7 linked regions of the Oryctolagus cuniculus genome follow. The main gene of each other region encodes a partner of the protein of the gene in region 3 in a complex. Links are inferred from orthologs where the notes say so. Each region holds a gene or a part of one and is shown on either strand. Other genes may lie near its edges.

The links.
Region 1: the proteins of TUBGCP6 (region 3) and TUBGCP5 are in contact, whole or in part, in a cryo-EM structure (PDB 7QJE), measured with the Homo sapiens proteins. The link is inferred for Oryctolagus cuniculus from reciprocal best matches to the Homo sapiens genes TUBGCP6 and TUBGCP5. Residues at the interface, in NP_065194.3 of Homo sapiens: Glu290, Ala291, Ser292, Lys293, Arg294, Arg295, Cys296, Trp297, Glu298, Arg299, Val300, Gly301, Cys302, Pro303, Pro304, His306, Arg307, Glu308, Glu309, Pro310, Tyr311, Leu312, Glu314, Lys322, Arg325, Leu326; in NP_443135.3 of Homo sapiens: Asp211, Asp212, Arg213, Trp215, Leu216, His219, Val220, Val221, His222, Trp225, Ser230, Phe232, Pro233, His234, Leu238, His239, Ser240, Asn241, Leu242, Leu264, Val265, Thr266, Glu267, Thr268, Gln269, Arg272, Val302, Thr303, His304, Leu305.
Region 2: TUBGCP6 (region 3) and NME7 share a complex: the UniProt entries of both Homo sapiens proteins name them as parts of the gamma-tubulin ring complex. The link is inferred for Oryctolagus cuniculus from reciprocal best matches to the Homo sapiens genes TUBGCP6 and NME7.
Region 4: the proteins of TUBGCP6 (region 3) and TUBGCP3 are in contact, whole or in part, in a cryo-EM structure (PDB 6X0U), measured with the Homo sapiens proteins. The link is inferred for Oryctolagus cuniculus from reciprocal best matches to the Homo sapiens genes TUBGCP6 and TUBGCP3. Residues at the interface, in NP_065194.3 of Homo sapiens: Pro65, Arg67, Asn68, Leu71, Met72, Ser74, Phe75, Asp76, Arg78, Asp87, Glu90, Asp151; in NP_006313.1 of Homo sapiens: Pro9, Asn10, Val11, Leu13, Gln14, Glu25, Ala26, Ala29, Gln30, Phe32, Gln33, Val36, Arg37, Ile39, Gly40, Ser41, Phe43, Thr129.
Region 5: TUBGCP6 (region 3) and TUBG2 share a complex: the UniProt entries of both Homo sapiens proteins name them as parts of the gamma-tubulin ring complex. The link is inferred for Oryctolagus cuniculus from reciprocal best matches to the Homo sapiens genes TUBGCP6 and TUBG2.
Region 6: the proteins of TUBGCP6 (region 3) and MZT1 are in contact, whole or in part, in a crystal structure (PDB 6M33), measured with the Homo sapiens proteins. The link is inferred for Oryctolagus cuniculus from reciprocal best matches to the Homo sapiens genes TUBGCP6 and MZT1. Residues at the interface, in NP_065194.3 of Homo sapiens: Met1, Ala2, Ile4, Leu7, Phe8, Asp10, Leu11, Cys12, Ala14, Leu15, Pro17, Ala33, Leu37, Val40, Ala41, Ala44, Leu45, Asn48, Ile70, Leu73, Lys85, Arg88, Leu89, Leu92, Val93, Glu95, Leu96, Leu104, Leu105, Ser109; in NP_001065243.1 of Homo sapiens: Asn17, Ala20, Val21, Thr24, Val27, Leu28, Glu30, Ile31, Ser32, Ile34, Leu35, Asn36, Thr37, Leu39, Glu42, Thr43, Leu44, Ile46, Cys47, Arg49, Leu50, Cys51, Glu52, Gln53, Ile55, Asn56, Pro57, Glu58, Ala59, Leu60.
Region 7: the proteins of TUBGCP6 (region 3) and TUBGCP4 are in contact, whole or in part, in a cryo-EM structure (PDB 7QJE), measured with the Homo sapiens proteins. The link is inferred for Oryctolagus cuniculus from reciprocal best matches to the Homo sapiens genes TUBGCP6 and TUBGCP4. Residues at the interface, in NP_065194.3 of Homo sapiens: Leu312, Thr313, Ala315, Gly316, Arg317, Ala319, Phe320, Phe323, Leu326, His327, Glu349, Pro390, Glu391, Ser392, Ser395, Leu396, Glu399, Tyr403, Ser455, Leu456, Leu457, Thr458, Gly460, Phe461, Lys464, Lys465, Arg468, Arg471, Tyr472, Glu475; in NP_001273343.1 of Homo sapiens: Met1, Ile2, His3, Glu4, Leu6, Leu7, Ser10, Gly11, Tyr12, Pro13, Gly14, Ser15, Ile16, Gln29, Phe31, Pro32, Phe33, Leu34, His35, Pro36, Glu38, Thr56, Ile59, Glu60, Thr63, Val66, Gln67, Gln68, Ile84, Arg87.

What each region holds. Positions count from the first base shown.
Region 1 is NC_091443.1:17,671,358-17,674,857, forward strand, and holds part of TUBGCP5 (gamma-tubulin complex component 5), read right to left. Parts: intron 2,576-3,500; coding exon 2,522-2,575; intron 2,415-2,521; coding exon 2,306-2,414; intron 1-2,305. UniProt on the Homo sapiens protein: Component of the gamma-tubulin ring complex (gTuRC) which mediates microtubule nucleation.
Region 2 is NC_091438.1:29,352,254-29,356,315, reverse strand, and holds the start of NME7 (nucleoside diphosphate kinase homolog 7), read right to left. Parts: upstream 2,801-4,062; 5' UTR 2,647-2,800; coding exon 2,644-2,646; intron 1-2,643. UniProt on the Homo sapiens protein: Possesses an intrinsic kinase activity. Displays 3'-5' exonuclease activity with a preference for single-stranded DNA. Does not seem to have nucleoside diphosphate kinase activity.
Region 3 is NC_091442.1:123,182,238-123,185,737, forward strand, and holds part of TUBGCP6 (gamma-tubulin complex component 6), read right to left. Parts: intron 2,972-3,500; coding exon 2,890-2,971; intron 2,804-2,889; coding exon 2,715-2,803; intron 2,646-2,714; coding exon 2,530-2,645; intron 1-2,529. UniProt on the Homo sapiens protein: Component of the gamma-tubulin ring complex (gTuRC) which mediates microtubule nucleation.
Region 4 is NC_091440.1:1,197,272-1,200,771, reverse strand, and holds part of TUBGCP3 (gamma-tubulin complex component 3), read right to left. Parts: intron 2,807-3,500; coding exon 2,688-2,806; intron 1,800-2,687; coding exon 1,674-1,799; intron 157-1,673; coding exon 88-156; intron 1-87. UniProt on the Homo sapiens protein: Component of the gamma-tubulin ring complex (gTuRC) which mediates microtubule nucleation.
Region 5 is NC_091448.1:20,231,109-20,235,337, reverse strand, and holds the start of TUBG2 (tubulin gamma-2 chain), read left to right. Parts: upstream 1-1,429; 5' UTR 1,430-1,625; coding exon 1,626-1,674; intron 1,675-1,935; coding exon 1,936-2,048; intron 2,049-2,250; coding exon 2,251-2,418; intron 2,419-2,724; coding exon 2,725-2,793; intron 2,794-3,166; coding exon 3,167-3,246; intron 3,247-3,603; coding exon 3,604-3,730; intron 3,731-4,229. UniProt on the Homo sapiens protein: Tubulin is the major constituent of microtubules, protein filaments consisting of alpha- and beta-tubulin heterodimers. Gamma-tubulin is a key component of the gamma-tubulin ring complex (gTuRC) which mediates microtubule nucleation.
Region 6 is NC_091440.1:40,016,012-40,020,263, forward strand, and holds the start of MZT1 (mitotic-spindle organizing protein 1), read left to right. Parts: upstream 1-1,452; 5' UTR 1,453-1,623; coding exon 1,624-1,702; intron 1,703-4,252. Other genes in the region: BORA (protein aurora borealis), read right to left, coding at 173-340, 1,207-1,239. UniProt on the Homo sapiens protein: Required for the recruitment and the assembly of the gamma-tubulin ring complex (gTuRC) at the centrosome.
Region 7 is NC_091443.1:66,338,390-66,342,654, forward strand, and holds the start of TUBGCP4 (gamma-tubulin complex component 4), read left to right. Parts: upstream 1-1,465; coding exon 1,466-1,543; intron 1,544-4,265. Other genes in the region: ZSCAN29 (zinc finger and SCAN domain-containing protein 29), read right to left, coding at 1-71. UniProt on the Homo sapiens protein: Component of the gamma-tubulin ring complex (gTuRC) which mediates microtubule nucleation.

The sequences.
Region 1 (3,500 bases), on a different chromosome or scaffold from region 3:
TTTTTTTTGACAGTCAGTGTGGACAGTGAGAGAGAGAGAGACAGAGAGAAAGGTCTTCCTTTTCTGCTGGTTCACCCTCCAATGGCCACTGCTACCGGCGTACCGCGCTGATCCGAAGGCAGGAGCCAGGTGCTTCTCCTGGTTTCCCATGCGGGTGCAGGGCCCAAGCACTTGGGCCATCCTCCACTGCACTCCCAGGACACAGCAGAGAGCTGGCCTGGAAGAGGAGCAACCGGGGCAGAATCCGGTGCCCCGACCAGGACTAGAACCCAGGGTGCCAGCCACAGGTGGAGGATTAGCCTATTGAGCCGCGGCGCCGGCCAAGCAAAATAATTGTATCTTGGGGATCTCAAAAGAAAACAGAGACTATAGGGGCCAGCGCTGTGGCATAATGGGTAAAGCCGCCATCTGCAGTGCTGGCATCCCATATGAGCGCCAGTTTGAGTCCTGGCTGCTCCACTTCCAGTCCATCTCTTTGCTATGTCTTGGGAAAGCAGTGGAAGATGGCCTAAGTGCTTGGGCCCCTGCACCAGCATGGGAGACCTGGAAGAAGCTTCTGGCTCCTGGCTTCAGCTCGGTGCAGTTCCAGCCGTTGCAGCTTACTGGGGAGTGAAGCAGTCGATGGAAGACCTCTCTCTGTCTCTCCTCTCTCTGTGTAACTCTTACTTTCAAATAAATAAATAAATCTTAAACAAAAATCACTTTTCTGATAAGGAAACTGGTAACTCAGTAAGATAAGCCAATTTAAAAATGAGTAAACGACTTGAGTGGATACTAAGAAAACAAACGAATGGCCAAAAACATATACATGAAAAGAGGCTCTCGTTTTGGTTTAGTGGGTAAAAGCTGCCACCTGTGATACTGGCATCCCATATGGGCACTGGTTCACATCCTGGCTGCTATAGTTCTGATCTAGCTCCCTCTTAATGGCCTGGGAAATGCAGAAGAAGATGGCCAAAGTGGCTCCACGAGGGAGACTGAGATGAAACCAGGCTCTTGCATTAGTGCTGGCCATTGCGGCTATCTGAGGCACGAGCCAGCAAATGAAGATCTTTCTCTGTTTTTCTCTCTCTGTAACTCTTTCAAAATAAATGAAGTAAATCTTCAAAAAAAAAAAAAAAAAAAAAAAAAGATGAAGAGGTGCTCAATATCATGAGGTGTTAGAGAAAGGTAAACTCTAACACAGTGAGATATTACTGCATACCCTTTAGGATGTCTTCAATCAAAAGGACAGACAATAATAAGAGCTGACCAGGATATGGAGAGAGTAGAACCCTTATACTTTGCTAGTAGAAATATAAGCCTCTTTGGGAAACAATTTAGCAGCTTCTTAAAAGGCTAAGTGAAATACACAGTACCCACTAAGACAGTACTTGAGTTTAACAAAGGGTGAGAGTCCCCAGTCAGGAGAAAGAAGAGCAGCAAGGCAGGTAAGGTACAGGATGTGTCACAGCAGAGGAGGGGACGTGGTCCCATTGTGTCCAGGGTGCCCATAGTGGAGAGAACACAGAAAAATGGTTGGAGATGCTAATGAAAGGCCAAAATGGGAATTAGAGGTAGGCTCTGCCTGCCTATGTGGCTGATCCTCTGCCCCCCCCAAAAACCTCTGGGTACCAATTTTCAAATCCTGTCACACACTATTACAAGAGAATTAAGTGCACTCCTTTTGTGTCTCCCCACGGCGAGGGACATTGGAAGCTCCTGCCCGGTTTCTCCCAGCCTTTGCTCCACGCACCTTTGCCCACGTGGATCACATCTGCACCCTTCCACTGTAACAAGCACTAACAGTGAAGATGACAGCTTAAGTCTGTGAATCCTTCTAGTGAGTCACTGTGCCCACGGGTGGTTTTGGTGACGCATGACATGGTATGAAAGTGCACCTGATACGTAACAAGCACAGGCAGTTATCACCACGTGCTCGGACTGTAACAAGTGTAGGCAGTTATTGTTACCAAGTGCTGGGAAGTCATTTGGAAGTTTTAAGGTATCCAGCCTGTGCTACTATTTGAGCCAATCTCTGGTGTCTAGTTCCATAGCAGGTTTGGGGTTAGGCAATGGAGATGAGAACATGCTCTTCCTTTCATCCCAAGCTGAGGCACACCTGGTTGATGGCAATGTTAAAGTCAGTTTTCAGGAGATCCTGTTTTAGCCACTTGACAATACTAAAATTGAATAAACATAATACGTATCCTTATTATGTTATATTAGTTAATATATACCCTTGTTATATTAGCAGAAATAAGCTGACAATAATCAGATTGGAAATAGTAAAATACCCAACAGAGATCTTGTAAGTGAACCATACCTTTGTTTCGTTTACGTTGGGAAGTGATGAATTTAGAAATTCCTCAGTTAATCTCTTCCAGCTAGCAGCCTTGCTGAGATCAGAATGAATTATGAATTTCTCATGAATTCTGAAATATTTAAAACATCAACTGTTATAGAGCTATATTAACAGAAAGGTGCATAAAAATACATATATTTCTGAATGTGCACATATTTACATGAAAACCCAACTTACCCTTCTATTGTCTTTTCTATTTTGTGGCTATTGACATCCAAAAAACGATGAAACCTAACAAAAATAAAATGCAATGTTTTGGTCAGTTCTGTCACCTGGCTAAGTAGCCCTGCCTCACAGCTCTGAATATCCGTCCATAGACCCTATACTTAAACATTTCCAGGGTGCACCTCTCCCCCTTACCTCCACCATCAGACAGGCAAACAGCCCCTGTGTTCTGAGAAAGCATCCTTGCCCTGTCTGCTAGCTCCTGTGTCTTCCAACAAGGCCCTAAGTTCAGCACAGCCTATCTACATCAGGTGCTCCTAATCTTTGTTACGATTGAAGGGCCCCTGAATGATGCTTTGAAATGCAAAAATACAAAGAAAACGGAAATAAAGCCGTCAAGTAATTTTAAATATTGGTGATGGAGTTAAGAGATACATTTCTTTATTAAACATTTAAATATAGCATCTAGCAGTGGGCCTAAGGATAAGGACTGCCATTAAAGTCAGAGTAAACAATGTTCAGTAATACCTGCACAACAACTCTAATATGACATGTGGTTTTTACTGCTGACAAATCATAGGTAGGCTAACATTGCTGTGGTTTGTTGCTTTCATTCATAATTGATGAAAATGCTACTTTTCAGTTAGTGGATGGTGTAAAAATTTTTTCTCAACCAAATTCACAAGCCCCTGAATGCCAGCTTTGGACCCTCAGGTTAGAACCCTATTCTGCATCCTCCTGCAACTGACTTTGGTGTTCCTCCTTCTTAAGGACAGAGGACAGCTCTTACTTGTCTTCGAATTTTCAAGGCCTAAAATGTGGCCACAATTTTCAAAAATGTAACCATGAATCATTCATTTTTCTGATGAATTAAAGTATAACATTATAGCATAGCTCTCTCAACTTTTCCAGCTTTTTTATTTTTTATACTTATTTATTTATTTTTTTGACAGGCAGAGTTAGACAGTGAGAGAGAGAGAGGGACAGAGAG
Region 2 (4,062 bases), on a different chromosome or scaffold from region 3:
GACAGCCACCATCCTCAGTTGCTGATGGAGAGACCCCATCTTCACAGCCATACAGACACCAGAGGCTAGACGGAGCACGGTTGATTGCTCTCCACCCTTCCTGATGAAGGACTGACATCCAACAGCATAGGAGAGATGCTGGATACAGAAAGAAATGTGATCATTTCACTCTAGCCAATTTTCGCCTCTTGTTAAATTCCTTTCTTTGCCACACATTAAGAACACTGTCATTAGATGAAAAGACAAATCTGTATGCTTCTGATTTTAACTGCTTTGCCTTTTAAAGTATATGTTGCTCTAAGTATATAGTATCTTGAACTTTGTGGATCATGACTCACAGTAATATGTTTTATGTCATAACCCAGTACATTCACAAAATATATACAATTTAAAACAAAAGTTCATGAAAGCTACCCTCACGGCATGCAGTAGATGTGGTAAGTTTCTATGTTAGTCTTCTTTGTTAATGCTGGCTACACACCACAAATCTACTTCATGACAGAATAATAGGTCACCTCCAACAGTTTGAGAAACATAAGCCTCGCCAAGTAGATGATATATAGCTAGACAGACAGACAACAGACAGTCTGGCATCTGCATACAGACTGTATCTCATGTTATTCTGCCCCATGTACCTCCCAAAGCAGCTAACCCTGCACCACCTCACAACCCAGTTTCTATTTTTGTACTCTATTAAACCATAAGTTGCTCAAATTTATGCTTGCCCCTTTCTGCCTCAGGAACTGTGATCTTGTTAGTGCACCCTGAAGATCCAGATCAGCACGTTTTGTATCATTTAGGTCTCAATACCAAAAGTCCTTTCTTCAGAAGGGCCTTCACTGACCATCTAATTGAAAGAATCACCAACCATGAAACCCCAGCCAGGATGGGAACAAAGAAGGCAGGCAGAGCACTTTACTGCTGTTTGCTCTTAGCATTGCCGGAAACTCTGAGTGAAAACAGCAAACAAAGCAAAAAGTAGCAGACAGGAAAAATAAACAGTATTTAATGAATGTCACTTTTCAGCTCCCTATGCCACTGCACAGGTCATTGAATTCTAAGCACTGATATTCTCTACCATTTGCCACATGACGGCTTTAACGATGCTCTAGCTGAGAAGTGAGGACTCTGTCCTGCAATCTCCTTCTCGTTCAGACCACTTACCTCATTCTTTCCTCTTCTCTTATGCATTCAGCAAACATTTGAGTGCCAAATATGCTCTAAGCAATAGCAGTGAACATAGTAAACATCTATACCTCTAACAGTTCACAGTTTAGGAAGGGTGACAAAGCTATAAACAAATAATTTCAAGTAAAGGTGGTATCTACAATAAAAGAAATGTGTACTATATACAGTGGTGACAAGAAAGAATAAACAGTTACCTCTTGTGGAGTGTAGGAAAAGCCATGACAGAAAGAGAGACACTTAAGCTGAGTCTTGGAAGGATCAATAGGAGTTTCATATGCAAGAAAAGGGAAAAGGGCAGAAGCAGTACCATGTGCCAAGCAGAGGGAAGAGACATACTGCCAGTTTGAAGTTGTCTGCTATGTTCAGTAGTAAGTAGCTAAAAGGCAAACGGCTAAAAGGAGTATCCAGGAAAGGGACAGCCAAGAAAGAAGCTAGAAAGGTAAGTGCTAGCTTGTGGAGGGCCTCTTGTGTGCCATTCCAAACTTTACTGTAGGAAACGGAAGTCTAGACTTTCAAAGAGGTGAGTAGCATTAACAGATGGGAACTTAGTAACTTCTTCCTTGTGGCAGAAAAAACGATAGATTAGAAAATTGCCAGACCAGACTGTAAAAGAAATGAATATAATAGCTAACGTAAAAATGAGGAAATTCTAAACAAAAATAATGACCAATTGAATATGGGAAATGTCAGAGAAAGGGGAATGTAGGATGTCACTGATTTCTAGTTTCAGTTATAATACAGTGGTATCATTAAATAACATGGTGAAAAACAGGAGAAACCAGGCAGAAAGACAGCAAAATCACTTATAGGCTTATTGAAAATGGAAACATGGAGCCTCATCCCTATTCATGCAAAAATTTAGGAGGGAAGCTCAAGCAAGTGAATTCTAGAAGCTCTCAAGTGATCCTGAAAGTTATTCCTGTTAAGCAGCACGGACATAGCAGGTAGTCAGCTGGATGCAAGCGAGCCGATCCACTCTACAAATATGATTAAGGGGCCTTTACAGAGTGTGGGGCAGTGCTCTGGCACTCCGCGGGGCAGACTCCAGGCCCTAGCGAGATTCGGGCCAGTGTTGCCACAGTCACCTACACACCACCATCTGCCTTTTAGGTGGAACGTTACTGTGAAGTCCACAAGCCTGAAAAACGCACTGATGAATAATGCATACCCAAAAGAGGAGGCTGGTTTGAAATAATATCTCACCTGAGGCTCCGCGTCTTAACCCTAAACTTTCTGTTGCCTTACTTTAAGGGCTTACGGTAATATTAGAGCGGAATTCAGGGCGCTGCAAGAAACAGAATGGGGAGAATGCAGGGACAGCCCACGGCAAATGGGGGAGAGAGAATGGGGAGAAGACAGGGTTGCGGACGCCTCCGAGGGCCCATCGACCCAACACTTGCGAAGCTGCGTAACCAGGAACCCGGAGCGGCTCTTCTGGTCGGCCTTAGCACTCACCATAGTTTCAGGATCTCAGCACGAGGAAGCCGAGTTGCCCCAGGAAGGCACCGCCATCCACACCATCATCCGGTTACTCTGGCAACAGGGCCCCGCCCCCTGCCGGACACCCCGGGAGACGTCAGCGGTCAGCCCCTTCGTCCCTAGTGGCTGGGAGTCCTCGCAGTGACGCCCAGCTCATTGACAGATCCGCCCCTTCACGCTGTCTCCTGGGGCGACAGGACGCCTCCCGCCTCTTGCCAGCATTTTCACTTCCGTTTGGTTGGCAGATGACCCGGAAGTTTAAGTTAACACGCGGCTAGGCGCCAAAGAGCGCACTATTTTATTTTGAAATAAACCCCTCTCCAGCTTTCCATTGATGAGGCGAGACGCTGTATCGTCTGCGTTACTTGAATTTAAACGCACCACAGACTGTGTGTTCTCGCCTCTGTGGGAAGAATATTCCGGAAGTGAAACCCTGGGTAATCGGAAGTGATCATGACTGACACAGCGGCTGGTTGTCCGGAAGGCCTGGGCGGGTCTGCTTCGGCATGGGCGAGGAGCGAATCCGGGAACCTGTAACGTGAAACCGCCGAAATAGAAAAGGAATCCCGAGGTAACTTAGACGATAGGCTTGTGTAACTCCGAGGTGACGCTGGAGAGGCGCGCGCGTCGGTCGGAGCTCGGTGGCCAGTGGCGTCGGGTATAGAGAAAGAGTGGACCGGGGAGGCTTGTTGTGACAGGAACGAAACTTGGCGTTGGAATCCCCGGGACAGCCACGCCTGCAGCCTTGGTTCCTGGGCATCCTGGGTATTTGCCGTCAGACTGGCTGCTCCTGTACGTTTCGCAGCCGGTCTTCAAAGCGCGGTTTCAGGACTCGGTACGCCGGGTGCCTGTTTTTAGAGCCGTGGAATATAAGTGGAAGAGGGTTTGTGACTGTTGAGGAACCTGTCTTGGGAGGCCTTAGACTCACTGATCGTTTTTGAAGCCGGGAGTGACCTGTTCTGTTCATCACATGAGTGCCACCCTCCTTGGCATGTTTTCCGGTAAATCTGAGTATACTCTAAGGTTGTGCATACCTTTCCGAAAGTATCTGTTCCATGTGTATTTCTCTCTGTTGTTAGAAGCAACATCATTTAATTTTTTTTTTTTTTTGACAGACCTAGTGACAGAGAGTTAGAGAGAGAAATATCTTCCATCCCCCAGTTCGCTCCCCAGATAGCCTCAACGGCATGAGCTGAGCCATCAAAAGCCGGAGATGCTTCTAGGTCCCGCACGTGGGTGCAGGGTCCACTGCCTTCCAGGCGCGCTAGCAGGGAGCTGGATCAGAAGTGGAACAGCTAGGACTCGAACCAGTGCCCATATGGGATGCTGACGCCGCAGGCCCCAGTCCACAGCGCCAGCCTCTACCACTTAAATTTTATTCCCAGAAGAATTAAA
Region 3 (3,500 bases):
TGCCGCTTCCCCAGGCCCCTGCCCTCCATCTGCTCCTGCCAGTGGCTGGGCAGGAGCCTTCCACCGAGCAGCACTGATGGACAAACTGCCCAGCCGGGACAGACACACGTCTGCTGCACAAACACCCGAGTGAGAATCCACACAGCCTGACACAGGGGCCGAGCAGGGAGTGGGGGCCCAGTCTCCTGGGAACGAGGCCTCACTCTCCAAGCTGTGGAGAAGGCCTTTTCTGTCCTGCAGGGGAAACTGCGGAGAGCCAAGCACTAACGCAGAAACACCCGCGGAGCCCACCCAGCCCAGGGCGTGGTCTGCCAGATTCAACCAACTGGGCTCTAGCCTGGCCTGGCCCCTCCAACACGGGAGCTGCAGGCCAGGTCTCCACGTGTAAAGAGGAGGATGTCCACTCCCACGCATGCAGCCGCACACACCCTCCCTGGCGCCACCACAAGACTAGGCCAGGGCATGCAGGGACCGGGCCTTCCACAAGGGGCTTCATGACAACATGGAGCCAGCCCCTCAAGGGTCCAGCTCTCCTCCCAGCTTAAGGACAAGCTGACACCACAGATGCCCACCTCTCTGCTGGACCAGATTTAAAATAAACAGGGGCCGGCCGGCGCCGTGGCTCACTAGGCTAATCCTCCGCCTAGCGGCACCGGCACACCAGGTTCTAGTCCCGGTCGGGGCGCCGGAGTCTGTCCCGGTTGCCCCTCTTCCAGTCCAGCTCTCTGCTGTGGCCCGGGAGTGCAGTGGAGGATGGCCCAAGTGCTTGGGCCCTGCACCCACACGGGAGACCAGGAGAAGCTCCTGGCTCCTGGCTTCAGATCAGCGCAGTACGCCAGCCACAGCGGCCATTGGAGCGTGAACCAAAGGTAAAGGAAGACCTTTCTCCCTGTCTCTCTCTCTCACTGTCCACTCTGCCTGTCAAAAAAATAAATAAATAAAATAAATAGGGGCCGTTGCCATGGTGTAGCAGGTAAAGCTGCTGCCTCAACACCTGACATCCCATATGGGCTTTGGTTCAACTCCCAGCTGCTCCACTTCTGATCCAGCTCCCTGCTAATGGCCTGGGAAAGCATGGAGGATGGTCCTAGTACTTGCTCCCCTCACCCATGTGGGAAACCCAGATGAAGCTCCTGGCACCTGGCTGGCCCAGTCCTGGCCCTTGCAGCCATCTGGGGAGTGAACCAGAAGGTAGAAGATTCTCTCTCCCTGTAACTCTTTCAAATAGATACATCTTTCAAAATAAACAGGAGTCGCTAAAGCTAGACAGAGTCAGGACACCAAATCCAGTGCATGGATGGTGCCAGATTCTAACTCATGAAAACCAGAGGGCCGGCGCTACGGCTCACTAGGCTAATCCTCCGCCTGCGGTGCTGGCACACCGGGTTCTAGTCCCGGTTGCGGCACCGGTTCTGTCCCAGTTGCTCCCCTTCCAGGCCAGCTCTCTGCTGTGGCCCGGGAAGGCAGTGGAGGATGGCCCAAGTGCTTGGGCCCTGCACCCCATGGGAGACCAGGAGGAAGCACCTGGCTCCTGGCTTCGGATCTGTGCAGCGTGCCGGCCATAACAGCCATTTGGGGGGGGTGGTGAACCAACAGAAGGAAGACCTTCCTCTCTGTCTCTGTCTATAACTCTGCCTGTCCAAAAAAAAAAAAAAAAAAAAGAAAGAAAAGAAAAGAAAACCAGAGATGACACAGGACAGCTGACGACATCCAGAAACAGCAGAGGCCATCACCCCCCGGTGACAGGCCAGGTGTTGTTCTGGGCTCAGTACACCCGTCTTTCTGGGGCAAGTTCTGCTGCCAGAAGCCCCACCGGGCCCCAGCTGCCCCACCTGGCCTCCCCATCCCACTTCAGCTGTCCCACCTGGCTTCCTCTCCCCCCCAGCCCCAGCTGCCCCACCTGGCTTCCTCTCCCCCCCAGCCCCAGCTGCCCCACCTTGCTTCCTCTCCCCCCCAGCCCCAGCTGCCCCACCTGGCCTTCCTCTCCCCCCCGCCCCAGCTGCCCCACCTGGCCTTCCTCTCCCCCCAGCCCCAGCTGCCCCACCTGGCCTTCCTCTCCCCCCCGCCCCAGCTGCCCCACCTGGCCTTCCTCTCCCCCCAGCCCCAGCTGCCCCACCTGGCCTTCCTCTCCCCCCAGCCCCAGCTGCCCCACCTGGCCTTCCTCTCCCCCCCCCCCCCGCCCCAGCTGCCCCACCTGGCCTTCCTCTCCCCCCCGCCCCAGCTGCCCCACCTGGCCTTCCTCTCCCCCCAGCCCCAGCTGCCCCACCTGGCTTCCTCTCCCCCCAGCCCCAGCTGCCCCACCTGGCCTTCCTCTCCCCCCCGCCCCAGCTGCCCCACCTGGCCTTCCTCTCCCCCCAGCCCCAGCTGCCCCACCTGGCCTTCCTCTCCCCCCCCCCCCCCCGCCCCAGCTGCCCCACCTGGCCTTCCTCTCCCCCCCAGCCCCAGCTGCCCCACCTGGCCTTCCTCTCCCCCCCAGCCCCAGCTGCCCCACCTGCCCCACCTGGCTTCCTCTCCCCCCACCAGCCCCACCTGGCCTTCCTCTCCCGCTCCTCCTCCAGGGCCTTCAGCCTCTTCTCCCGGTCGCGGAACTCACGGGCGAAGCTGAAATCGTCATCCAGCTCCTCCTGTCTCGCCGCGAGACGCCGCTGCGTGACACACAGCCGTTGGTTACCGAGGACTCCAGGGCCTGCACCCCTGGGGCTGGGCCTACCCACCTCCTGATCCTTCACAAACTGTTCTTTCAGCCGCTGAAACTGCTCTCGCTTCTGGGCGTCCACGGCCATCTGCTCCGACTTCTGCCGATCTGCGTCGGGGCGACGAGAGGCACAGGGTCTGCGGAGCGCCCAGCGGGGCCGGGACCCAGAGGGGAGGACTCGGGGCTGGGCTCACCACTCAGCGCGCTCAGGACCCGTGACGCTGCTTCCCGGGCGTGGACAATTAGTTCTTGCTTTGCAATTTCCATGCGTAATTCCTGGAAAAGGTCATCAGTGAGCAAAGCACCAACTTCTCCCCTCTTTACGTGGGACGGCCCGGGACACCCACCACCCCACACCGCGCACCCAGGCTGTGACAGGCTGGCGCCAGGCCACTGGTGGTGTGACCCGCCCTGAACGAGGACAAGGGGTCTTAGAGAAAGAAGCCTCTCAGGTCTGCCCCTGGCCAGGTCTCCCTGCTGCCCACCAGATGCCAGCCCCAGAGGGGGTCTCCCGCTCAACACCTGCTCGCTGAGTCCCCAGGGGACCCACAGCCCTGCTCCCAGGCGCAGCAGGGCCGCTCGTGCAGAGGCCACGCCAGCGCAGAGCCCTCGGCTGCAGGGCCCAGGGAAGAGCCGAGGCAGCCGTCCAGGTCAGCACAGGCTGGGGCACAGGTCAGGCCACCAGCCCCACAGGACAGGGCAAAGCCCCGGCCCAGCTCATTCTGACGCCTGTGGTGTCCTCACCCAGGAGCCACACCGGGCACCCCCACCCCCACCGCCACCGGGAGCCCAGGAGGCGGGGCAC
Region 4 (3,500 bases), on a different chromosome or scaffold from region 3:
TGTATGCAGCAATTTATAATATTCTATAATAGCTTCACTTTTTAACCTTTCAAATCACGGAGAAATCAAAATAACAACAAAGTTTACCTGGGAGTGTAAAACAGAGAGCAACCGGTAGTACTCTTTGAGTTCCTGGTGCAGGGCGGCACAGAAGCTCTGCGGGGAAAGGGAAAAGAACAATGCGGCGAGACGCACTCCTGCACACCGCCCCGTGCTGGTGCCAAGGCGACGCCTTCAGACAGTCCTGGTGACGTGCAGCGGCACTAAATTCTGGCCCCTCAACGGCCCCCACGTGCTGACCACAGCCTGGATCCCGCCAAGCTTCAGCCCAGGTTTCTTAAGTAGCACTCGGAGCAAACCACGGCACAGCACCCTGTCTTACCGAAGCCCAACCCCAGCCCCCAGGGCAGAGACACAGTCGCACAACTCCCACCAGCACCCCGACGGGTACTTGTAGGCAGAGCTGTTCTGTGATTCCTCTGTGACTTTTCGGAGAATTAGAATGGCAATGGTCACTGCCCAAGAATCAAGCTGTGCCCACAACTATGCACCACCTAACAATTAAAAAGGGACTGGGGAGAGGGAGCCGGCACTGTGGCACAGTGGGTTAAGCCTGTATCAGGAGACAAGGGCACCCCGTGAGTGCTGATTCAAGTCCCAGCTGCTTCACTTCTGACCCACTTTCCTGCTAATGCTCCTGGGAAGGCAGAAGATGAGATGGCCCAAGTATTAGGCTCAGACCGCCACCTGGGAGACCTGGATGGAGTTCTCGGCTCCTGACTTCAGATTGCCCAGCTCCGGCCACTGCGGCCATCTGAGGAGTGAACCAGCAGATGGAAGATCTCTTTCTCTGTCTCTCCCTCTCTCTGTAACTCTGCCTCTCAAATAAATTATCTTTTCTTAAAAGGGACAGGGGGAGGAGGGCGTTACTGCAGAGAGCAGCTGTTTGGCCTGGCAGCTAAGACGCCTGGCCCCACATCAGGGCCCTGTGTGCCAGTCACAGCCCCAGCTCAACTCCAGCTTCTTGCTACTGCAGACCCTGGGAGGTAACGGTGACAGCTCAAGTGGTGGCTCCTACTGCCCAGGCTGGAGGCCTGCACTGAGCTCCTAGCTGTGGCCCTAGCCCAGTCCCAGCTACTGCAGGCATTGGAGGGATCTGTCTGTCTCTCTAGTAAATACAAAAAATTGGGAAAATAAAAATCTAATACCACTTCTTTATGTCCACCACTTCCTAACACCAGGCAGGAGGAGGGAGAAGGAATAGCACACCAGCCCCAACAACTTGCTTGTCCATCAGCGATGGCAGCAGCAGGGCTGGCCAATGCAGCGGCAGATGCCCTGCTCACAGACCTGTGTCCCAGCAGGGCCACTCCTCCACCTGCCTGAAGCAGGAGAGCAGCGAGCAGGTCCCCCACGCTCTGGGGCCTGACGGCTCCACTCTCGCCGGCTCCCAAGTGACCACATGCTCCAGGCTGTCTCCTTTCACTGCTCAACCCATCTGCTGCATTCAGCAGGCTCTGCCAACACCGCAGTAGCTTCTGTCTTCCAGAGTGGATCCTGATGATACAATTCTCAAAACCGCTCTCTTTACAAAGAGCCCGCTTCAGAGTTATTTTCACAGAGATTTAAGGTGGATCCAGCACTCCCCAGTATTTTAGAGACAGTGGACGCACCTGACCTACAAGTCCGAAGGAGCGGTCCAGACTCCTGTGGTCAGTGTACTTCCTGATTTTATTATGCAGCCACCCCAGCTCCGCGAGTCGCACTGCCGTGTCCCTCAAAGATTTACTCAGGTTTGCCTAAAAGTAAATATATTCAGAGTTAAAAACTGAAGACCAATACCAGAATTTTAATTTCATTTTTCAACCACGTGTACTTTAATATGAAACTTCTTGGGCTGCCCCACATGGACGTTAACAATAACTAATCCACCATCAACAAAAGAAAAGGCATCGGGGTGGGCATCAGCCTGGCAGTTACCCCTGCAGTGCCTGGGCTCCACTCCTGGTCCAGCTCCTGACTCCAGCTTCCTGCCCATGTAGACCCTGAGAGGCTCAAGGCTTTAGGTCTCTGCCACCCACAGAGGAAGGACAGATTGAGCTTGCAAATCCTGCCTTAGGTCTGACCCAGCCCCAGCTGGTGTAGGCATTTGGGGAGTAAACCAGAGGATGGAAGTGTTCTGTATGTCTGTCTCCCTGCCTCTCAAGTAAGTTACAGAAAACAAAACGCATCAAGTGACAGCGCCTTGACAGGAATGCTAAGCTGTGTCACATCCATCTGTGTAGCGCTGCTGGGCCTGGGCCTGGTCCTCAGTGAGACAGAGGCTGTGACAGTCGCTCTGTGAAGGGCTGGGGCCAAGGGTGCCACGGGAAAGGCAGGTTCCGGAAGAGGAAAGGATCAAGCAAAGACCCCTGAGCTGCACCTGTCCCTCAAGGCCGTGACCTCTGCTGCAGAATGCGGGTATAGGGCTCCATGGGCAGCTGCATAGTGAATATGAGAGGAAGCAGGCACTGCCCAGAGGGCCCAGTAACAGAATCACACCAGCCACAAACTGGACAGGGACGCATAAACCACACGTTGGCAGTGCACTTACGCAGTACAAACCCTGATACCTGATAGTCTAACAGCTCACTAACTGCACTTAATGATCCTTTTGAATATTTTAAACTAGATTTATGTCACGGTACCTTTCCTTCCACTTTGTAACAGTTTTCAGTGTTGCTCATTTTGATATTTTTGCCATCTATGCCCTGGAAGACGTACAAAATATCTCTCACGAGAGCTGCTTCGGTAACTTCCGATGTCCCTGCAAAACGAAGAATAGTTACTAATAAACACATTTTAAGATGAAATGAATGCTATTAGATGCTATATTTCCAGAAGGCCGAAGTCTACCAACTCGTAAATGAGGTCAGGCCGGGAAGAGCAAGGACAGGAAGAAAGACGCCCGTTCTGCCAGGGTGGGGGGTTGAGGTGGTGCAACTCCCCAGGAGAAGTTCTCTCGCGATGGGGCTGCCTGTGAGAACCCAACACATGGGAGGTCTTCAAAAAGGTCACGGGAAATGTGTGTTATGAAAAACGCACATGGATTTCAGATTGTTTCACTACCAAAATAAACTAACTTTTTTTAGATTTATTTATTTGAATGGCAGAGTGACAGAGACCCTCCTTCTGCTGGTCCCCTCCCCAAGTGGCCACAACAGCCAGGACTGGACTACAGAGGCTGATGTGATACAAGCCTAACATTCCTTTCGAGGTGTTTTAAATCCCTGCTGTCACTTGATGTACTTTATCTTCTGGTTTTCTGTAACTTACTTGAGAGGCACAGAGAGACGGACAGACAGACAGAACACTTCCATCCTCTGGTTCACTCCCCAAATGCCTACACCAGCCAGGGCTGGCTCAGACCGAAGGCAGGGTCTGGAAGCTCCCTCAAGGCCTCCCCCGTGGCTGCAGGGGCCCAAGCACTTGGGCTGTCCTCTGCTGCTCTCGGGCAGTGA
Region 5 (4,229 bases), on a different chromosome or scaffold from region 3:
AATAAGCCCCAAGCTGTGCAAGCCTCCACAGAGACTTGGCGCTTCCTGTTCGTAGGCAGGCAGCTCCTGTGCCCCTGTGGTGGGGGGTTATTGAGAACAATCTTTAAAAAACATCAAAACTGTGCATTGTATGGAGTACTATGTGACATCTCCAAACGCGTACATGGTGTGATGTTCAAACCACAGAAAACATATCTGTCTCTGCAAACATTTATCAGCTCTTGAGGGTTCTAGCTTTTTAAGAAAGCAAACAATACTTTACTGTCATCCATAGTCACCCCACAGGCCAATTCAACACCAGAATGCCTTTCTCCTGTCTAACTATAACTTAGTATCGGTTAATCACCCTTTCCCATCTGGCCTTCCACTAATTGAGAACAATCTAACCCCACTCGTTTGGAAGTAGAATAAACTGCTTTTGTTTGTCCACTGAAATACAATACAGCAGTTAAAAGGGATGAACTAAATCTACCCATATTAACACGGCTACATCACAAAAAGCCCTAATGTAAGGTGAAAAAAGCAAGCTGCTTTTCTCTGATATTATACTTTGGTATCATTTATATAAATTTCAAAACACAAAAATAGATGGTAAAAATATAAAATTATGTTGTCTATGTCACCTTTCCGGTAATTTAGAGTAAAACAGAGCCTCAGAGATACCACTTCACACCCAGGCTATGATCAAAAGCTAGCGAGGAACAAGTGTTGCTGGAGATAACACTGGAACCCCTCAGCACTGCCAGTGGGAACGTAATCTTGTGCAGCTGCTGTGGAAAAGAGTATGGCGATTCCTCAATTAGACACAGTTATCAGCAATCCTACTTCCGGGTATGCAAGCAAGGAGTTAAATAGATATCTGTACACCCGCGTCCAAAGGGGCACTATTCAAAATGGCCAAAAGGTGGAACAAGTGTCCGCCGAGGTTTGAGTGGATAAACAAATGTGGTGTATCTATGCCACGGAATATTATTCAGCTTTAATAGAGAAAGAATGGTGACTTCCAGGGTCTGCGCCGAAGACGGGAAGTTGCTGTTTAATGGGTAAGGTTTCAGTTTGGGAAAGAGAAAATGCTCTGAAAATGGAGGGTGCTGATGGGTACAGAACAATGCGAGTATACTTAATGTCTGTTAACTGTTGAAATGATGGATTTTATGCTGTGCACGAGTATGTCAAACAATTTTAGAAAAATAGAAATTTAAAGGAAGAAAGTTGCCTTGGATCCAGCCCAGGCCCCAGCGGAGCTGACAGTCCTTAGGGCATCAGGACCTACACCCGGACTACCTAGTGCACCCAGCCGTCCTCTCCCCACCTGCCCGCAGCCTAAGGTCGCGACCCTGCGAGCCCCCGCCAGTCTCAGGGCGCAGGCGCGGAGAGGTGGGCAGGCGGGGGCGTGGCCTCGCTCTGCGCCTGTGCCGAATTCCAGCTGCGCCTGCCATGGGGGAAAATGATGCCCAGGTTGGGCTCCGCGGCCCGCCGGCGGAGCAGACGCCCGCACTGCACACGCGCAGACCGAGCGCTCGCGTCGAGAGGCGAGGGGAGCGCGCGCTGCCCACGTCCTGCGCGCCCGGCTGCCGGGCGTTCGTCTCGGCCGTGACTCCCGCCGGGCCCGTGTCCGCAGAGCGATGCCCCGGGAGATCATCACCCTGCAGCTGGGCCAGTGCGGCAACCAGAGTGAGCAAGCGAGCTCCGGGCCCCGCCACTCTCTCGTTCTGCCCCTTCGGGGTCCACGGGAGTGCTTGGTTCCCACCGGGTCCCCTCTCCCTCTCGTGAACCCCCTGCCCTACTGCGCATGACCACGCAGGCCCTGGGCTGTGACGGCTCCCAGAGCCGGCGTCCTGGGCGCACGCTCCGAGAGTGGCAGCCTCAGAGCCTGACGCTGAGCTGCCCAGGCCTTTCGGCTCTCGCAGACCCGGGCGTCTCCCCTCTCCCCAGTTGGTTTCGAGTTCTGGAAACAGCTGTGCGCCGAGCATGGTATCAGCCCCGAGGGCATCGTGGAGGAGTTCGCCACCGAGGGCACGGACCGCAAGGACGTCTTTTTCTACCAGGTGCCCCCGGCGGCTGGGCCAGGACCCCGGGGGCCTGAAGGGACGGGGCAGGGGCTGGTGCTGGGGAGCCCGCTGGGCACAGGGCCCCGCGGCTGGCTCGGGGAGGGAGGCCCGGCAGGAGCCCGAGTGGGACTGGACTGGGGCCTGGGCCGGCGGTGGCGCCGGCTGACGGGGCCGCCCCTTCCCGGCCTCTCGCTGGCAGGCCGATGATGAGCACTACATCCCGCGGGCCGTGCTGCTGGACCTGGAGCCCCGGGTGATCCACTCCATCCTCAACTCTCCCTACGCCAAGCTCTACAACCCGGAGAACATCTACCTGGCTGAGCACGGAGGAGGAGCTGGCAACAACTGGGCCAGGGGATTCTCCCAGGTGTCCAAGCCGGGGACCCTTGGATAGTCCCACCCTGGGGCAAGGCAGGCTCAGGCAACCTGGGAATTTGACCAGAACAGATTTCTGATACGTAAGAGATAAAGGGATGCTTTGACAAAGGGACAGCCAGGGAGAGCTTTATGCAAATTTTGTACAAGTCACAAAGTATCATTTCTGCGTTGAGGGCAAGAGCTGAAGCTCTGCTTCAGGGGGGTCACAAAGCCCTCCCCCGCCGCCCTCCCTTGTGGAATTCTTGTTGCTGAACAGAGAACCTTGGACCTGACTCTCTGCCATGTCTCTGTCCAGGGTGAGAAGATCCACGAGGACATCTTCGACATCATAGACCGGGAAGCGGACGGAAGCGACAGTCTTGAGGTGAGCTTCTCCCCAGCTCCCGTGGGGTGCAGCGGAGAGGGGCTGCGGCGTGTTGGGGGTCAGGCGGTGGCCCGAGCAGGCCCTGGGATGGTGGCAGTCCAATTCCAGGCCCATTTGTTGAGCATCTGGTTTGGGATCTTGAGGTAGATAAGGTGCAGTCCTTGTTCTCAGGGAAGCCGTAGCCTGGAGGGTGTGAATCCCTCAGCCTGTCCCCAAGCCCTGAGTCTTCCCAAGGAGCCTCGGCCTGGACGGACACAGAGGAAGCCTTGAGGCACGAGTGTGTTGCGAGTGGGTGGGGAATGAGACAAGCTGGCAGCCTCCCCCTCCCCCTGCCCAGGTCCCTGGTCACTGCCTGTCCTTCACTCCCACACAGGGCTTCGTGCTGTGTCACTCCATTGCCGGGGGGACCGGCTCTGGCATGGGCTCCTACCTCCTGGAACGGCTGAATGACAGGTAGGCCGGTGTTTGTTAGGAGGGCATTAGCCCGGGTCCCCTTTTCCTTCTGAGCGGGAAGGCCTGCCCCTACTGCTTTTGAGTCCTAGAGACAGACCCACCCAGGTAACCTTGGCAGCAACCAACACCTGGGGGGGGGGGCACCTGGGGACAGGGGAGATCTAGAGTTTGATGCTTGCAGCTTATCCTGTTCATTCTGAAGACTGAGTCCCGCCCTTACCCTGCTACTGTACAAGAGCTTGGTGGCACACGAAAATCGTGGTGCCCATTGTCCCCACAGAAGACAGAGTGAGCAGTCCGGTAAGTCCTGTTGCTTCTCTGTGCCACCCTCCCCCTTTCCTTCTTCTTCACCCTCAGGTACCCCAAGAAGCTGGTGCAGACCTACTCAGTGTTTCCCAACCAGGACGAGATGAGCGACGTGGTGGTCCAGCCCTACAACTCGCTCCTCACGCTCAAGCGGCTGACTCAGAACGCAGACTGCGTGGTGAGCAAAAGAAGAGGGAGTCGAGGGCTGTGGGACCCCCCTGAGTCACAGCCAGCCTGCCCTGCCCTGCCCAGCACAAAAAGAACCACCAAAGCCAGACCCGTGGTCGGACTGCGAAGTAAGGTCGCAACCTCCAGGGTGCTTATGTGACTTTAGGCAGCCAGTCCCCCAGCACAGGGACTGCCTCCCCCTGCCACCACATAAGCCACTCAGCCCACTCAGTGCCTGCTCACGTTTCAGCTCCAGCTCAGGGGTCACTGTCTTAGTGAAACTTCGCTGCCTACCCAGTCAAGGTCAGCTTCCTTTGTCATATTTCAGGTTAACAGCGTCTTTTTTCTGTTCTGTATTCAATGTCAGCCTCCCTCAACTAGGCTGGAGGCCTGGCGAGGGCAAGACCGTGCCCGTTTTCACTCTGTGGTCACTCCAGACCCAGGCACAAAGTGTGGCACAGAGGACACTCACAGATTTGTTTACTGCCCTGCACTGTCCAGAGGGACTC
Region 6 (4,252 bases), on a different chromosome or scaffold from region 3:
CTGCCTCTCAAGCCACCAACAAAATTTTTGCACACTGCAGCCATTTATATATATATATATATATATTCTGTGATATAGTCCCCCTTTACCTTATAAAGATATTTACATCTACAATTATTTGTAGCTGTTAACACTTAAAATTAGTAGTAAAGATTAGCCAAGAATAACTCACTGGCAATTTTGCTGATTTAAAAACAGAAGGACTGGCGAGAGTTTGCTCATGGAGATTACAATAATCACTAGGACTTTCAAAAGGATTTAAAACAGGGATCCTCCCTGGAGTTTCTGGTGATATTTGCATCTTTAATTCTTTGACTTCTCCCATAGCCTGCAGCGAAAACTAAAAAACAAAATCAGAAACATCCGTATCAAAACTATACAGTTTCACAGACAGCGACTATGACAAAATGTACTGAACAATCACATTTCATGGAAAGGATTAACTCCAAACCTAACTCTCTTGGGGCTATCTTATAGCTTACCCTCTCTCCTCCCCACCCCACCCCAAAAAAAGCATTACTTAAACATTTCCTAGAGTGCTCCTCCAATAACCCGGGAAGCCAGACTGCCACCATTCTGCAGCAGAATTAAGCTTAGAGAAGTTAAGAGGCTTCTAAGTAGCAGTCAATCAAATAGGAATGAATTCAGGCCTGCCTTCGAGGCGACTAAACGTTCCAGCAGGGAAAAATATCTTCCCTTCTGCCTACAGCTTCTCATCCATTCCTTCAAGATTCGCCACAGGCCGATACTCCAGCCACTCTGGGCCGAACTCCAGTGCTTTGTGGGCCAGCGAGCAGATGAGGAAGCCAGCGCGCGGGCGCCTTCTTCGCACAGGAGACCTTGGCCAGCCAAGTCCGACTGACGGGGGCCTCTCCGCAAACCTCCCGCTCCCGTCGCCAAGACCCTCCCGAGAGAGACAGCGAGGCCGCACGGCTTCCAGTTCAAAGGGCTCCATCTCCAGAAAAGCCAGCATCCCGCCTCTGCAAGGGCGAAGTGCAGCCGGCTTCCTCGGGTGAGCAGCGGGGAGGACGTGTCACGGCCCCGGGCCCACGCGATCGCTCTGTCTGCGCAACCCCTCTGGGCAAGACCCCACTCCCTCGCTGCTCCCGTCCCCACCCCGGGGCGAGCGGGCAGGCAGGCCTGAAGCCGAGAAAAGCAAGCCCTCCAGTCAAGAAAGGAGGGAAGCAGAGGAAAGAACTTACCCACTGGCGCGTGGGAAAAGGAATCCCTCCACAACATCAACTCCAGGATGCTCCCAAGAGGGGACCAGGCCAGCTCCCACGACAGCCGCAGACTCTTTAACTCCCCGCTTCCGCGCTGTCTTAGGCCAACCAGCGCACGGGGCCTGACGACGACTGGCCAATGGCGTCGCACCGCCGTCCGCGAACCAGCCAATCACATCCAAGCCGCGAGGTAAATTCGAATGGCAACGCCTCGCTCCCCACATTCCGCGCAGAGGAACGAGGCTCCAAATTCAAATCCACGCAGCCGCACGCTGGCGGCGAGCGCGAGGGGCGGAGCCTGCCCGGCGTGAGCGGGCGACGCGCGGTGTGATTGCCCGGGAGAAAAGCAAGGCGCTCCAGTTCCGGGTCGGGCCCGCAGCTGCCTCCCTCGGTCTCTGCCATGGCGAGCAGTAGCGGCTCCGGGGCGGCGGGGGCGGCCGCGGCGGCGAATCTGAACGCAGTGAGGGAGACCATGGACGGTGAGTGTCCCTTGTGGCCTCTTTATCTGGCCGAGGCCCCCAGGCGGAGGACAGCCCGGGGAGGACTTGAGGTCGCCTTCCCGCCCCGACGGGCATCTTGGAAGATCCCGGAAAGCGATTCGCCGGGGCCGCAAGGCTGCTGCTGGTCCTGTCCCTGCAGAGTTGTCTCTCCGCTCCTGGGTCGTTGGTCGCGCGCGGCGTCCCGGCCCCGCACGCCAGTCCGTTGCTCGCGCGCCGCGCCCACTCCGCTTCCCGCGCGCGTCCAGTGTCGGCGGAACGCTTCGGATGGAAGTCTGTGCGGACGTGGGCCGCGTGTGCGTGGCCACCGCCGTGGCCCCTGCCCCTGGCACAGCAGGGACAGGCGCTGTTTAGATATCTGTTATTAGAGTCGCCCCTGTTGCGTGTTGGAGCGGGTGACGCGTGTCCGGATGCGGTGGGCGTCGTCGCGGGCACCCCGAGGCACGTGGCGGCCAAGCCTCCACGTGGGTGGTAGACCAAGTCACCCTGTACCCTCCAATGTCGGCCCTTCGGAGTGAGTTTGGACAAACTGCTGCGACATCTTTAAGCGTGTTCTCACCACTCCGCCTCCCTCCCTCCCCGGGGCATGCAGGAAGCAGGGTTACTGTGATTATTTAAAGACAAAGCAGATAAAGGCATAGCGAGGATCGATTTGGGGGGAGGGGGATTAGATGTCAACCCGGTTGCAGCCTCCTTGCGTGAGAGGATTTGAGTGCTGTTAAATAGTCCTAGGTCCTGTTTGCAGTCTGCCACGGTATTTTCCATCTCTGTTAAAAAGAGACCGCTGTGGAATCCTCACTAGGGAGTGTCAGGCTTCCTACAATGTTTTGTTCACCGGAAGTCCCACTTGCTATCTATCAGTCCCTGCATGTAAGAGTTTCTGATGAAGGCTTCTGACTTTTTGCACTGGCTGCTGCTTTCCTCTTCAAAGACTCACCTAACACTAGTGGAGACTTTGCATTCATTTCTTACTCATCCAGTATCTACTTTGCTGGTTTTCTGAGAATTTTCTTTTATGACACGGCATCCAGCCTATTTTTCCATCCTCATTGATGTGTCATGGCATACCAATTTTATAAATGAATTTAGATTTATGTACATGAGGATTTCTGTATAAGTAATATTATCCTGTATGTTTCCTTGGAAGTCAGTGTTTCTTTTTTTTTTAAAGATTTATTTATTTATTTGAAAGTCAGAGTTAGAGAGAGAGAGAGAGGTCTTCCATGCGATAGTTCACTCCCCAACGCCAATCCGAAGCCAGGAGCCAGGAGCTTCTTCCAGGTCTCCCACGGAGGTGCAGAGGCCCAAGGACTTGGGCCATCTTGTACTGCTTTCCCAGGCCATAGCAGAGAGCTGGATCGAAAGTGGAGCAGCCGGGACTTGAGCCGGCACCCATATGGGATAACCTGTGCCACAGTGCCTGCAGGAGTATTTCCATTTTTAACAGGATGGAGAGGCTGAGGCCTTGGGTCCAGCCTGTCTTCTCTGTTAGCTGTCCTTGAGTTCCTTATTTATATTGCTGTAGGATCCCAAAGGCTTCAGTGTAGTACTACTTTATACTTAATCAGAGAGTGAATTTAAGGAATGCATCATACAGAGCCGAGGTTAGGAGAGTTCACAGTGTATTCACCTCATTTGACCTGCCCTGCAAGGCCCTGTCAGCAGAGTAAATCCAATCCAGTTATTCATTAAGTCTTTCCAATTTTTCACTCATCTCAGATTTGACCACTTGTCTTAATCTCTCCTATCACTAGTCTTTCACCAACATTATAATAACTGGACTTACTTGCCTCAGGTGCTCTGCCATTTTCCAAATCCCGTTACATATTCAGGCAGTTTTTTTTAAATGCTGATCTGATCTTCGTATATTCCCCATTTTATTATTTTCCAGTGACTTCCCTCAATTTTTTTTTTTTTAAGATTTATCTATTTATTTGAAAGTCAGAGTTATACAGAGAGAGGAGAGGCAGAGGCAGAGAGAGAAGTCTTCCATCTGCTGGTTCATTCCCCAGTTGGGCGCAGCGGCCAGAGCTGCGCTGATCTGAAGCCAGGAGCCAGAAGCTTCTTCCGGGTCTCACATACAGGTGCAGGGGCCCGAGGACTTGGGCCATCGCGTACTGCTTTCCCAGGCCACAGTAGAGAACTGGATCAAAAGTAGAGCAGCCAGAACTCGAACTGGTGCCAATATGGGATGCTGGCACGGCAGGCAGCGGTTTTACCTGCTATGCCACAGCGCTGCCCTCCACCCCACCCAATTTCTTTTTTAAAAATAGTTAAAACATTTATTTTTTTATTTGAAAGTCAGAGAGAGAGAGATGGCAGGGCTGGACCAGGCCAGGCCAAAGCCCATAAGCTGGGAATTCCATCTGGGTCTCTGGGTCTCCTGTATGGGAGGCAGAGACCCAAGTACTTGAGCCATCATCTGCTTTCCCTGGCACGTGAACGGGGAGCAGTGGAGAACTCCAGTACGAGAAGCCTTCTTTGCAAAATGCAGCTTAACCTGTGTCAAAACACCAGCCCTGCTAAGATCTT
Region 7 (4,265 bases), on a different chromosome or scaffold from region 3:
AACCTCCTGAAGCGCTGCCGAAAGGTCTCCGAGTTAGTGCCATTCCCTCTCAGGGCGGGGTTGGCCATCATTCCAGCAGAAAGCAGCGGCCCTCCGCTCAGGGCGTGGGTTCCAGGGCTTACTCCTATCTTCCCATGTCCTTGGAGAATCACCTGCAGATAAGTCTCTGTCTGTGAGAGGAGTCTCTTTCTAGGGTAGAGAGAGAGAGGACACTATCAGAAGGAATATATTCATACGTCTAAAGCCTTGTTAGAGCTGGCCTGACTTCCTACATGCTCCAAGTAGCCGCGTGAGGCAGCGCCTTCAGGGCGATAAGCCAACACGGAGCATGAAGGAGAAAGACCTTTCAAAAGCTGTGTTTCTGGACAGCCCCAGGAAGCAGAAAACAGCACTGCCTTGCTCCTTTCCCACCTCCCCCAGATCTGCTCCCATTTCATTCTCCTGATCAGTGTTGCACAGTGAGTGCCAGCCATATGGGAAGCCAGGATCTAAAAGCAAGTCACACGGCTGAAGGCAACAACAAGCCTCTCTGTCCAGCGGGTAGCAGCTGATCTCCCCCAGTGCCTCCGCCCCGCCCCTCTCACTCCGCAACTACCAGTGCCCACCACCGACAAAAGCCGAGTCGGGAATATCGGGTCTTTGTTTTCCCTTCCCAGCAAGGGGTCGGGGGCTACTGACGGGAAACCGCGTGCATCGGGAGCAGCTGCTGTGGGTGGCTCCTGAAGCAGGCACCGGGTGGGCCTGGGGAGCGTCTCACTGAGTTGGTGAGGAGCGGGGGTCCGAGGGGCAGCAGGAATGGGTCTCCTGAGGACGAGCTCGGTGCTGACTAGGGGCTCCAAGTGCGGCGGACTCGCGGGCGCTGAACTCCGCTCAAGGATCAGCGGGTGTGCGGCTCCGGCCTCTTTGTCTTCGCTCCCTCCGGCCGGGTCACTCCCGGAGTCGTCCTGCAGTTCCTCCTGAGGCCTCTGATAGGGTCAAGGCGCCCTGAGAGCACCCTCCGGTCCACATCTAGGAGCGTCTGTCTCTGGGACTGTCTCTCTAGTCACTCGCATAACTGACCCCCGCTCAGCCTCTCCCACTCCGGGATCAGCCCCAGCCAGGACTCTCACACCACCCAGACCAGCTCCCAAACCGGAAGTCCGAGCGGGCAACTCGGGGGCGCCGAAGGCGCATGCGCCGGGAGCGCTGCGCAGACCGCAAGTCGGCAGCAGCGCGGCTGGAGCTGGCGCGAGCTAAGCGGAGGGCCGCGCGGAGCCCGGCGCACTTCCGGGACCCGGCGCGCGGTCACTTTCGCCGCCTAGCCTCCTCTCCTCCCGCAGCCGTGGTCCGGGCGGGTGCAGTCGGAACGAGCCGCCGGAGCTAAGGGCGTGCGTGCATGTGGAAGGAGGTCCTCGCCCCCGTGTTCTCCTGAGAGGACGCTGGAGGAGAGGGTCACGTCCCCAGAGACTCGAAGTCCGCCGTGGGCATGATCCACGAGCTGCTCTTGGCTCTGAGCGGGTACCCGGGCTCCATTTTCACCTGGAACAAGCGGAGTGGCCTGCAGGTACTGTGCGGCTGAGAGCGCGGGAACGAGGGAGCAGACTCGGCTGACCTGAGCCACTGAGGGACCCGGAGGGCGGGACCTGCGGGGGCTGGGGCCGCATAGAGGGCAGCCCCCCACGGCCTAAGGGTGAGGGAAATGCTAGCATGAGAAACCGAGGACAGACCCCCCCAACAGCCCTGCCTTGCCGCGGGGTGTGGGGACAGGGCGTAAGGTGGCGGTGTCTGAATGACAGGTACAGGGGGCCTGGTTATAAGTGAGGAAGGCACTTAATCCTGTTCACTTTCACTCCAGCATTCTGAGCTTTGCATTCTGGTTCAGAAACACAGCGCCCAGCAAACTTGACTGAATGGAAAAAGAGATTTCAAGAGCGTGTGGAGCGTTTCCCTCCTGACTCTTTTCCCAAAATATACCTGCACCAGGTGGAGAACTTGCTTGGGGGTCTTCGTGTTACCAGGAATGAGAGATGTATGAGGAGGAAGAGTCATGTGATATCCATAGATAGTTAGGGCGTAGGTGAGCTCCTTTAATCCACACGACCACTTGTACCCATTTTACAGATTAATTGGGGCACAGATCCGTAAATATTCCCCTGTGTCACATACCTAATAATTATCTTAGTTGTTTTTTTTTTTTTTTTTAGATTGATTTATTTGAGAGGTAGAGTTACAGACAGTGAGAGGGAGAGACTGAGAGAAAGTCACTCCCCAAATGGCTGCAACGGCCGGAGCTGCGCCAGTCCGAATCCAGGAGCCAGGAGCTTCTTCCAGGTCTCCCCCGCAGGTGCAGGAGCCCTAGCACTTGGGCCATCTTCCACTGCTTTTCTAGACCATAGCAGGAAGTTGGATCGGAAGTGGAGCAGCCGGGACTCGAACCGGCGGCCACATGGGATGCCGATACGGCCAGTGGAGGCTTAGCCCAGTATGCCACAGCGCCAGCTGTGTTGGTAACTTTAAGGAATTGTTTGCTGTTCCTGCTCCAGTAATGTTACCCATAATTTTTTTTAAAATTTTCTAAAACTATGTCAACAGGAAATCTTATTGGCAGAGCTATCTTGATGATAAGAATTGCTTGTATGTTTTGAGCACCCAAGGTCTCCCACATGGGTGCATGGGCCTAAGCACTTGGGCCATTCTCTGCTGCTTTCCCAAGCACATTTTTCCCAAGCATATTTCTCCAGTATGGGATGCCAGCATCGCACTCAGTGGTGCACCCTGCCACACCACACTGCTGGCCCTGGCGCATGTGCTTCATGTGTATTCTTCTTTTTTTTTTTTTAAATTAAACATTTATTTATCTTGAAGAGTGACAGAGAGGGAGAGACAGAGCAAGAGATCCTCCATCCGTTGGGTCACTCCCCAAAATACCACAGGACACCAGGGCTGGGCCAGGCTGAAGTCCGGAGCTTGGAACTTCATCTGGGTCTCCTACAAGGTTAGCAAGGGCCCAAGTACCTAGACCATTTTCCACTGTTTTCCCAGGCACATTAACAATTCAATACTCACAATTATTGCCTCTGTAAGAATCAAAACTGAGCACAGAGAGGTACATTAACTTGGCTTAGCTATGAGGCAAGTAGGAGGCAACTCACAGATTCAGACTGAAGTAGTCTTATTCCAGGGATCAAGTTCTTAAGCACTGTTATACCACTTCATAAACTATTGGCTTGAAGATATAATTAGTATTATGTCATTAAGATCTACATTAAATGAATTCCTAATTAGGTTATTGTGGACTCAGTAACAAAAATTGTCCTTTGCCTATTTATGACCACATTTATGGGCATATAAAGATGGCATCAGGGGCCAGCACTGTGGCGTAGCGGGTAAAGCTGCTGCCTACAGTGTCCACATCCCATATGGGTGCCAGTTCTAATCCTGGGTGCTGCACTTCCAATCCAGCTCTCTGCTACGGTCTGGGAAAGCAGTGGAAGATGGCCCAAGTCCTTGGGCCCCTACACCCACATGGGATACCCGGAGGAAGCTCCTGGCTTCGGATCAGCGCATTTCCGGGCGTTGCGGCAAATTAGGGAGTGAGCCAGCAGATGGAAGACTTTCTCTCTCTCTCCTCTCTCTCTCTCTCCTTCTCTCTCTCTGCCTTTCCTTCTCTCTCTATGTAACTCTGACTTCCAAATAAATAAATAAAATTTAAAAAAAAGATGGCATCAACCAAAGACAATAGTTACAATGTGAATATGTGATGTGTTATAAGTTGCTTTGGAATGGTAGCTTTATCTGATTTTGTGTACTTTTTAAATCTCAGAATGTTAGCACAGTACTTGGGGTATAGTAGGTGTTCATTAAAAGTTGATTGATTTGGGGCTGGCACTGTGGCAGAGCAGGTAAAGCTGCCACCTGCAGTGCCAGCATCCTATATGGGCACGGGTTCTAGTCCAGGCTGCTTCACTTCCAATCCAGCTCTCTGCTATGGCCTGGGAAAACAGTAGAAGGTGTCCCAAGTGCTTGGACCCTGGCACCCATGTAGGAGACCCAGAAGACACTCCAGGCTCTGGCTTCAGATAGGCCCAGCTCTGGCCACTGTGGCCATTTGAGGAATGAACCAACGGATGGAAGACCGACTCTCACTCTGTCTATATCTGTCTGTCTGTCTATCCATCCATCCATCTCTGCCTCTCTGGGCCTATCTGCTGATTTTCCCAGGCCATTAGCAGGGAACTGGATCAGAACTGAAGCAGCCAGGGCTAACACTGTGGCGCAGTGTGTTA